2 linked regions of the Drosophila melanogaster genome follow. The protein of the gene in region 2 interacts with the protein of the main gene of each other region in a pairwise test. Each region holds a gene or a part of one and is shown on either strand. Other genes may lie near its edges.

What was found. Proteins that work in one complex are often made in the same cells at the same time.
Region 1: the proteins of CG1640 (region 2) and Ppcs interact in a two-hybrid assay, tested with the Drosophila melanogaster proteins (one large-scale study listed by BioGRID).

The regions. Positions count from the first base shown.
Region 1 is NT_033777.3:19,144,873-19,149,859, forward strand, and holds the start of Ppcs (phosphopantothenoylcysteine synthetase), read right to left. Parts: upstream 3,039-4,987; 5' UTR 2,389-3,038; coding exon 2,263-2,388; intron 1,053-2,262; coding exon 609-1,052; intron 1-608. Other genes in the region: CG5835 (uncharacterized protein), read right to left, coding at 4,166-4,289, 4,363-4,760.
Region 2 is NC_004354.4:13,368,838-13,373,631, reverse strand, and holds the start of CG1640 (uncharacterized protein), read right to left. Parts: upstream 3,027-4,794; 5' UTR 2,846-3,026; coding exon 2,830-2,845; intron 2,638-2,829; exon of another isoform or gene 2,106-2,637; intron 1-2,105. Other genes in the region: dmrt11E (doublesex-Mab related 11E), read right to left, coding at 3,299-3,633, 4,392-4,794.

The sequences.
Region 1 (4,987 bases), on a different chromosome or scaffold from region 2:
TCAAATTATACGATGACAATGTTAAGGCTGCTGGCGGACAAGGCCACAAGGCCAGCGTGAGTGACACTGACAGCCTGTGATAAGGCTCCTGCTGGCCAGTGGATGGAATTGGAGGAAGCTAGAGAGGAACTGGAGGAGCAGCAGCAGCAGCCATAGTTGACTTAGCCCAGTCGAACGTCAATAATGTGGAGAGGAAATGTGTCACAGACCGGGGACTTGCACAGCGACCGGGAATCGGAAGGAGCACCAGGCACAAGGGTAGCGAAAACAACTAGAAACACACTGCCAGGAAATGGTGCTTTAAAGTGCATTATACATACATACATTCCATGCATCAGCAAAATCAGGATCAAAATGATTGACGCTTTTGCAATGTCAACTAGTAGTTGCTGCTTTGAAAATCGATACGAATTCACAATCACTATGCCATGGCCTTACTTTTAAGTACTACATCCTTAATTTGCCGCAGTGCAGCTTTGGGAATCGATAAAAACCAATTTCCACTCACTCATTCCGCACTCGTCGCAGTGAGGAGCGCAATCAATTACGAGATTTCCCACATGACCGCCCACCCGCCTCATCCGGCATCGTCCGTAGTCTCATCTTACCATCATGTCCTCGGGTATGTAGAAATCGGATACGGCTGCGGCTAGGTAGAGCACGGCTCGCTCCTCGAAGGCGGCCAGGCACTCGCAGGCGGCGCGGAGCAGCCACATGTAGTCCACCACGCTGGTGAAGTTCACGTACAGGATCATCTGCGTTTCGCGGGCTATCTTGTATTTGGCCAGCACCGGAGCAAACACGTCCACCGAATCCGGTTTGATGGCTATCGTCGAACTCTGGCTGTTGTCCGCAATGTCCAGCATGTCGAAGAACTGCTGGCCGGTGAAGTGGCGCGTGAAGGGCTCCAGCGACTTGTGGCGATGCATGAAAATCACGGCATAGTCGTGGTCGAGGAAGTATTCCGCCGAGGCGGAGCCACGCGTTCCAGCACTAAAATTGTCCACAAACCGCACCGTATTGTGCTCCAGGGGAACTGTGGTGCCACCGGACTGGAAATGTTGAACAAATTAGGGTTCTTTTAGAAAATATTTTGGTTCATTTTGGTATTTTTTCTTTGCTCCTATTTAATATTGATTATTCTGTTTCCTAATCGTTATGTTGCAATTAAAGCAACTTTTAAATTCTATTCTCTATTAAATTTTCATGTTCAAAAACTGGGGTTAAATGCTCGTGGTGGTTATACCCTTTACTCGTAGAGTTGAAAGGGCATACTAGAATCGCTGAAATCTATGTCCGTCCATTTGTCCGTATTTCTGTCCGTATGAACGCTGTGATCCTGGTAACTACCAGATCTGCAAAATTAAGTTTAGATATGCAGATTCTAACCATTTTTACTAATATCAAATATAAATTTTTGATGTTCTTCTTAGTACTGGGTGTCTGACAGCCGAGTAACTCGACTAGTTTTCTCTTGTTTTGTATCTTCTTATGTATTTTCTCCCCTTTAACATCCTTTCTTATAGGCACAATAACAGTTTTGTGCAAATCATTACAATAATTTCTTATAAAACAAATTAGAATAACCAAGTCCCTTTCATGTAAAATCCAATGACTTAGAACAAATCCAAGATATTTGGCAGCATTTAGTTATTCAAATCAGGCAGATAAATCAGCAAGTTGACCATAAATCTTATAGAGAGAAACTAATGTGCCTCGTTGTTAACTATTTGCGTAAATCATGTTCGGATTAAGCTGGCCCCAGTGAATAAACACCAGTTGACCCACATAATTTCATATTTAACTTTGAGCTTTAGGAGGCGAATCAAGTATTTGCAAGACTTGCAGATATTTGCAATATATATTATTTACGCATAGCAGCATTTTAAAGTGGAAAACTTAACTTAAAGTGAAACTTAACTAAGATTAAATTTCTAAAATGTTAAATTAAAAACTAACAAAAAAAAGGTGATTTTGGTTTTTTAAAGTATGTTAAAAAAACACTTAACAACTTTTGTTTTCTCCATTCACAAAATGCTAATTGTTTATGCATGCGCCCCTGCATGTGTTTAACATTTACGAACTTTGTTCTAGCCAATTTAAATTTATTCACTTCCACACTTTACACATTTGTTTTTAATGCCCCAGGCGCTCGGCTCAACCATGAAAGCTTTCACCAGCTTGGGCAGTTAATTAACGGAGTACAGTGGTTATTTAGCGCTAATCCTAATCCTAATTCGGATTTGGATCATCCCAGCTCACCGTGACGAGGACGATGCGATTCTGGAGCTTGTTGTGCCGTTCGCAGAACTCCTTGAGCAGGGAGCGATTGTCCTCGAAGTCCGCGGGCGGCAGGTGCGTGTTGTAGAAGTCCTCCCAGTGCGTCATGTTGGCTTATCCTTTACGCTTGTTTTTGCTTTTTCTTTGTCGACCTGCTGCTAATTGGCCGACAAACGGAAGCTCGAAAATGAACGGAAAGTTGCCCTCTTCCGCCGGAAGCTATGCACTGCCAATTAATAAATACAGAATGTGCGAAATGGCAACCAAAATTAATTAACACACGCACTGCACTATTCGGCGTACTATCTTAATTGATTGATTTGCTTTTGCTTTGCTTTGGTTTGGTTTTTTTTTGCAGTTTCCGAAATGCGAAGGGCGGAATATGCGTGGCAGGGGGGCGGGGCAGGGGCTGCGGGTGGCGCTGCTTATCAATGGAACCGTTAAGGGGAGCGCGCGCGAGCGGGAGAGCGGAACGGAGCGCTCTGAAAAACCGGAGAGAGAGAGAGCGAACGAAAATGCTGAAAAACGCAGCTGTGGAAATGCGATGCGATGTGCACGGCAGCAAGGTCCGCGGGATTCTGAACCGAAAATGCGATAGGCAGCGATGGATGGCGGAGCGGGACGAGCGGGAATGTGGACAGGCGCACTCAAATCCGTATCTTTATTCGCACGAAACCTCGGGGTTCAAAGTGCAGGCCAAAAAAAAAAAACGCGTTGGCCAGGTAACAGCTGATTGCAGTGTTGGACAGGGACGAATTGGAGGCATTGCTGACTGGTTCCGGCGCATGCAGCAAACTTGTTGCTTGTCAAGATTAAGTTTTTCATGTATCGTTCTAAGGAAGCTATACAAAGGTTTCATTTAGCTAATAAGTAAGAAAGACCACCACTTCTGCCTAGTTATCTGTCAGCCAGAAGGTGTTTTTGTTGAATATTCATATTTGTGAACTAGTTCTTAGTCTTGTGGTACCCATGAGCTATCTGAGCAAAGTTGGCTGCGCTTTAGATATTATTTCAGTGTTGTTAATTAAGAAAACGCGCCTAATTCAAATTCAAATTTGAGCTATAAATACCTGTACGAAAACAAATTATTTCAATTTTTAAAGGGAAACCTTTTTTATTTTAGGGTTAAGAAAGAATAAATGCATAACAAATAAAAGCAATGTAATTGTTAACTCCAAAAATACCTTATACTACTGCATTTTATTGGGTGTGTAACTCGTTCTTTGTGTGGCTATTTTTAATTTAATGGCTTACCTGAGTGTGTTAAGTGTAAACAAGGCTTGTGAAGATTTATATCCAATAAAACTCAAAATGAATCAAGTCAGATAACATGTTTTGGTTATTTTTAAATTGCTTATTCATTTATAATCCATTAAATAATTCCAGTATTTTGAAAACCACAGAGTCTTAAGCAGCTGTGAAAGAGGTAACTTGCAGGAATTTACCATCAACAAAATAAAGACGCCTAAGTTAAATATTCATTTACATTTACATATAGTTTTTATTATCGATTAGCAACGTGGGTTCTATGCGTATTGTTAGTGCAAGGACGTACAAAAGAATCTCTAGAACAATATCACAGAAACTTACTAACTAATTGGTCTTGTCAACTGCGCTGTTAGAAATCGGCGTGACCTTTAGCAACGCCATTAGAGTGTAATTGGGAAGCGGAATGCTTTTCAGCTTGTCGTGGAAATTTATGGCATACATTAGACGATTGAGCACCGTCTCTCCACCACCATCCTAGCTGAGGCTGCAATGAATTGCCATCGTCGTCGTCTCGTCTGAATTGTGTGGTGAGTGTGCACTTTAAACCGAAACCAGGTCCAATTGAAGCCCACCGTCGTATCGGATCGAATCGAATCGGACCAGATTTCGAAACGGACTACGCCCTAGGCGTAGCTGCCGTCGTGGTTGGCGCATAGACCTGATAATCGACGTCGTCGACACCAGCCGCTTCATCCTCCAAGTCGTGATTGACCAGTCGTTCGCGCATTCCATACCGCTGCCTGATGATGGTGAAAAGAGATGGTAAATGAGTTAGCACTCTGAAAATTAGAGCAATTAGCCAATAGAACTCACTCCAGGTGCGAGCGCCATATGACCAGGCCGGCGTACAGGCCGATGGAGACCAAGGCCAGTGCCACCACCACGATGCCGAGCAGCACGTGTCCCTGGCTAACCGCATCCGCCTGCACGTTCAGCGGGCTCATCTCGATGTTCTCGTTGGCGAAGGTTTCGGTGTCCGTGCTGAAGATCACACCGCGTCCCTTGAAACGCTCCTCCAGATCGTCCACGTCATCCATGCTACTGTCGTCTTGGTCGGCATCGCCGGATTCCAGGATCTCCACATCGTACTTGTAGTTCTGTGCCAAAACCAAATTGGTGGCCGAGTTCAGTTGGTCCTCGTCGCGGTGGGGATATGACCGCCGCTGCTGCTCCTCCGATTCCGCCTCTGAGTCGGAATCGTCGGAAGTATCCTGCGATTAAAATAAAATACAATTTTAGTTAGTATAACATGCATATATTATTCAAGCTTTAAAATTAAACGATCAACATGTTTAAGCTGAATTTAACGTATATTCACTAATTATTTGTTATATTTTCATATTTATCTATAAATTGCCTTTAATTGCGTCAATTTGTTTTTCCCTGTGTATACAAAAAAAAGGCTCGTGTCATCGATGTGGCTTTCACTGTCGGCTGA
Region 2 (4,794 bases):
AGGGAATCATTTAAATAACTTTGTAGCTAGGAAAACTTAAGCAACTATAGATATTTCGATGTGAAATATATATCATATTATATTAAGCATTTTTATATGGTATTGTTAGCACGCGCTCAATATAATATTCAAGTACCTAAATACATTTTCTTCACTGTGCATTTTTGTATCTTATCAAAGACAAGGCGTGGTATCATTTACTTTTTCAGAGCTTATCAATGTGATTGCTTGTGGTTCGATACTTTATTGCCTTTCTGTTTATCAAGAAGCTAAAGTGTAAATATTTACGACCTTTGGAAACTTTGCAATTAAATTCGCCGTGCATTTATCCTAGACTCAAACCCAATTGCACTCGCCGCAAGGCGCGCATTTCAAAACTGCAATCGAGCATTTCTTATCAGAGTTTTGGGGCTTTGCACAAGCAACTGCAAAGCTGAAAAATATATATTTTATTTGAGGAGGAATATATATTTTTGGAAAATATAAAAACGGTTACCGGCTGAATAAAATGAATGGCCATAAAGCCTAATCTCAAGAACATTTATTGCTTGACCATCCAGAAAATTTAATTAAAAATGGGACCGTTTAGAATCTACTTGTGTGTGCTGCTATATATTTCACTATATTTCTTATCTTGGTGGAACTTTTTTTTTAGAGGCAGTTAACGGATTTGTGGGCCATTTACCCAGGCATTATGTATACATATGTATGATTTAATAGCTATATTTCTCCATTAAATCCACTGGCAGGGCATCCATTGGTGGGGGCCACTATCAGTTGAGCGTACTTTTGACTTTGAGCCAAATCGGCGCAGCTTATCAGTGACGTCCCATTCGCAGCTTACGATTCCCTGTCTTTCAATTGAATATATGTATATAGCTTTTCTGATTTCTGCACTTTGAAACGCCAATTGCGTAATGCAAAAAATGAGCAAACGAACAAAGAATCTTTTAGAAACATGACAATGACCAAAGATCGACATTACCTCCAAAATACTATACTTTTCGCACTCAAAAATCAGCATCAATCAGCCGCAGATTGTTTGCTTTCTTTTTAGCGACAGCGAATTTATTTGTTTTTAAATTAAAAATGTACTAAATGCCGGTCCCGAAAAATACACAAATGTATGCTATTTTATATACGCACATATGTATCTTTGGAATATATGAATGTATGTGTATATATATAGGTATATTGTTTAGACGAGACAAACTGAAACTTGTTGGCAATAACTTTTTGGAAAACCGGTTGCGGTTTTGATGGCATTGATATAGACGAAAGGGTTAAGAATTAGGGGAAAGGGGTAAGAATTTGGGAATGAGAAAACATCGATACAGTGATCTCTGCTTAATTAAGACAAATTCAATACGATGCCGATATATAGATATAGATAGATATAAAATAATATATCCAATAGAATTTTTATATGATAACCATCTAAAGCAGCTGTGCATAGAACTTTTGCGTATTAATTTAAGAAACATTACCTCCAAATATTTATTTTAAATAAATTTTTCAAATTTTAACATTTTTTTTTTTTTGAGACAACTTTTGTTAGTCACTGTTTATCTGCGATATATATATATGCAGCGTATCGCTTTTGTTTGTGATTGTTTTGACAACAAAACTGGCTTATGCAACGAACTGTTAAAAAAAAATCTGAAACAGAAAATTATGTGAACTGGCTGCACTTTGCTTCAAAGACCCCGCTCCCCCCTGCACTTTCACCCCCCGCATTGGGGGGATTATCAGACAAACCAACTGGATAAGATAGTAACGATAAGGAATCCAATTAGAACACGGCCATTCGGATTTACTAAAATCACAACTTTTGCCAAACGTTAGTAAATTATATTAAATTATATTGTAACTCCGATTGACACGTAGAGCGCAACGAACAACAGCAACACAAAAAGAAGCAGAAATAACGGGTAAAGGGGGTGTTTTGATGTGCTAATTGGGTTGCTAAACAGCTGTTGACGCCGCACAAATTGAGCACAAAAAAAAAAACAATAACACGGCACGCAATTCAATTAGGGAAACGCACGCAGAACGATAAACAAAATCAGGGTACTATTGTGTATTAGATTTTTTTTTGGGCGCACAAATCACTTTCACTGTCACTTCCTCGCTGCTCCCAATTAGAATTTCTCGGCCACTGTGTTTATATATATGTACATATATGCACATGCATATATACATATATACGTCGGCAGTTCAAGAGCAAAAAATCGATTTTTCGCTGCACTTTTTAGTCGTTTCACCTTGATGGGCGCAAGTGGGCGTGGCGATTATCTAACGGCGTTTGTTGTGATCCCAAGAACTTGCATAAACTTATTAATAAACGCGATATGTCTGTATATAAAATACCTAATAAAAACGTGTGTGCTTGCTTGGCTGCGTGTGTGTGCGCGTACGTGTGTGTGTGTGTGCGAATATGTGCGGCGTGCGAGCTCCAATCAGAATCGTATCAAAAATTCAAAGCTCTTTGGCCGCTAGACGCAATTAAGGAACTGACAACAAGAACTGAAACCGCACCGAGATGGAAAATGAAGTGCTGGCAGTATTTACCGACTATATGTTTTTCTTGCGGGCAAAAGTCACGATGAAGCGGGCAGCGATTAAGTTTTAAAAATATCACGTCTGCAGCCCTCGCAGCCAAACTTTCGATAGACGGCGATAGATCGATAGACCAGCGATTTGCACCAACACTGGAAAGCTCAGAGCATTCAAAAACAAACTAATGTGTTTTATAAATAGCTCTTTTTAAATATCGATTAATTGCGATCTTAACTAACTTTCGTTTATTTCTATTAATTATGAACTTACTTCTGTTTTTAAACATCTTTGCTCTTTGCTTGTTTTTCGTGTAAGGCTTTAAATTCACTTAAACAATTTTGCTGGCTTTGTGCGCATCTTCATATATCACTGAAATTGATTGTTATAGGAGTGTCCCATTGAATTAGTTTTGTGTCGATTCAATCCTGGCCCGAAAATGTATGAACAAGCTATGCCCTACATTTTACCCATAGTCTACTTAGGTTTGTTTATATAGTATTCTTTTCAAGTTCGTTATGATAGCTCTTAGAAAATAAGATTTCTGTGAATATCTCCTCCGTATAAAAGAATTTTTATCAATAGTTTGGTAAGCTTTTTTTTCTCTTCTACAAAACCTTTTCGCATGTTTTATTTCACTCGAAACTTATTGCTATTCAAAAAAATGGGTTTTCTAACGCTAGAATTATGTACAGAGTGCATTTGGAAAAAATGATGGGTAGTAAGCCCTAGAAAGCCATGGCTACGTGCTGATGCCCATGATGGATTCGATGGAGAAACTCAGCTTGGGCTTCTTGCCACTGCCGGTGGAGGCAGTGGTGACTGCGGGCGTGGTCATCGCTGGATTTGTGGGCGGGATCGTTAGCGGTATCGTCGGCGGCATCGGGTGATAAATGTGCTGCTCCTGATGAACGGGTGCGCAGGCGGCGGCGGCGGCGGCAACGGTGGCAAAGTACAAAGCGTTACCGCCCAGCGTCGCCTCCATGACATGGTTCAGTTCCGGATCGGCGAATGCCCGCCGTTTGCGCATGCGCTCCATCAATGGCGAGCTGAACGTGGGAAATCGCTGTTTGTATTCTGAAAGAGAACGAACCAAAAGGAATGGTTGAAATTAGTGAGGGTTTTGGTGGGGGCGTTATCACTACAAATTGCCGCGATTCGTTATGAATGGGTATTCCAAATTGAAACAATTTATTATTGGGTAATCCGAGACACGCGTCGCCTGACCAGACAGCCTGGCACCGTTTTTTTTTTTTTGTTTTTTTGTTTCAACTTCGGACCGGTTTCGGGATCTCCACTTATTCGGATGGAACCAGATGGAAAACCCAGAAAGAAGTCAATTGCTGTTGCCACATTTGGCTCTTTTTGTGAGTCGGATGGGTTTTTCCGTTTTTGGTCGCGTCTCAGCTTACCGAATGTGACTCCCCTCAAGTGATTGGAAAATGTGCGTACACTGCACACACACATTTCGAAGCATCCGATTTCAATTGTTTTTCGTCAGTCGAATAATTGCTGTTGTTATTGTTGGGCATCAGTCATTTCCTGTCCACGACCACGACCACGTCCATGGACAGAGGAAAAGAGACGGAAGATGGGCGGCGGGAGACAGGAGACTGGAGACCGGAGAGGATCTCCGATTACGAACGGACCAGACAGTCTGGCACCGTATGGGAAAGCGTGTGAGTAGGGAATGTACTTATCATTTCAGCTGTGTCGTCTACTTTACGACATCTAATAATTTCCAAATTGGAAAGTGTCTATTTGATTGCGGACTCATAGATAGATATCCTTTTTGATATGTACATAAATCCTTATTTATGTAGTCCCATACTAACCTTCCATGGCGGCTGTGATATGCAATGTGGATTGCTGCAAACTGCGTAGTCTCTGCTTGTAGATCCTCTTTTGGGCCATCAGAGCCTGTCGGGTGGCCGAGGATGAAGATGAGTTGCTAACGCAAGATGTGGGATGCGAATGCGAATGTGGATGTGAATGTGCCGGCGGTGGTGAAGTGGAGCTGAGGGAGTCCTCGCCCTCGCTGCTGCTGGAGTTGTTGGCACTGGCCGTTGTTACGCCCGTGGATTTTGTAGATGATGCGGTGGCCTCCAGAGCCTCCATGGTTTGCTGACGTCGCAGGGCCACCTGGGCGGCCATCACCCGCTGGCGATCGACGACCAGTTGGCAATTGGGGCAGCAGCATTCGCGCCAACGGCACAGACGCTTGTGACCCTTGACACA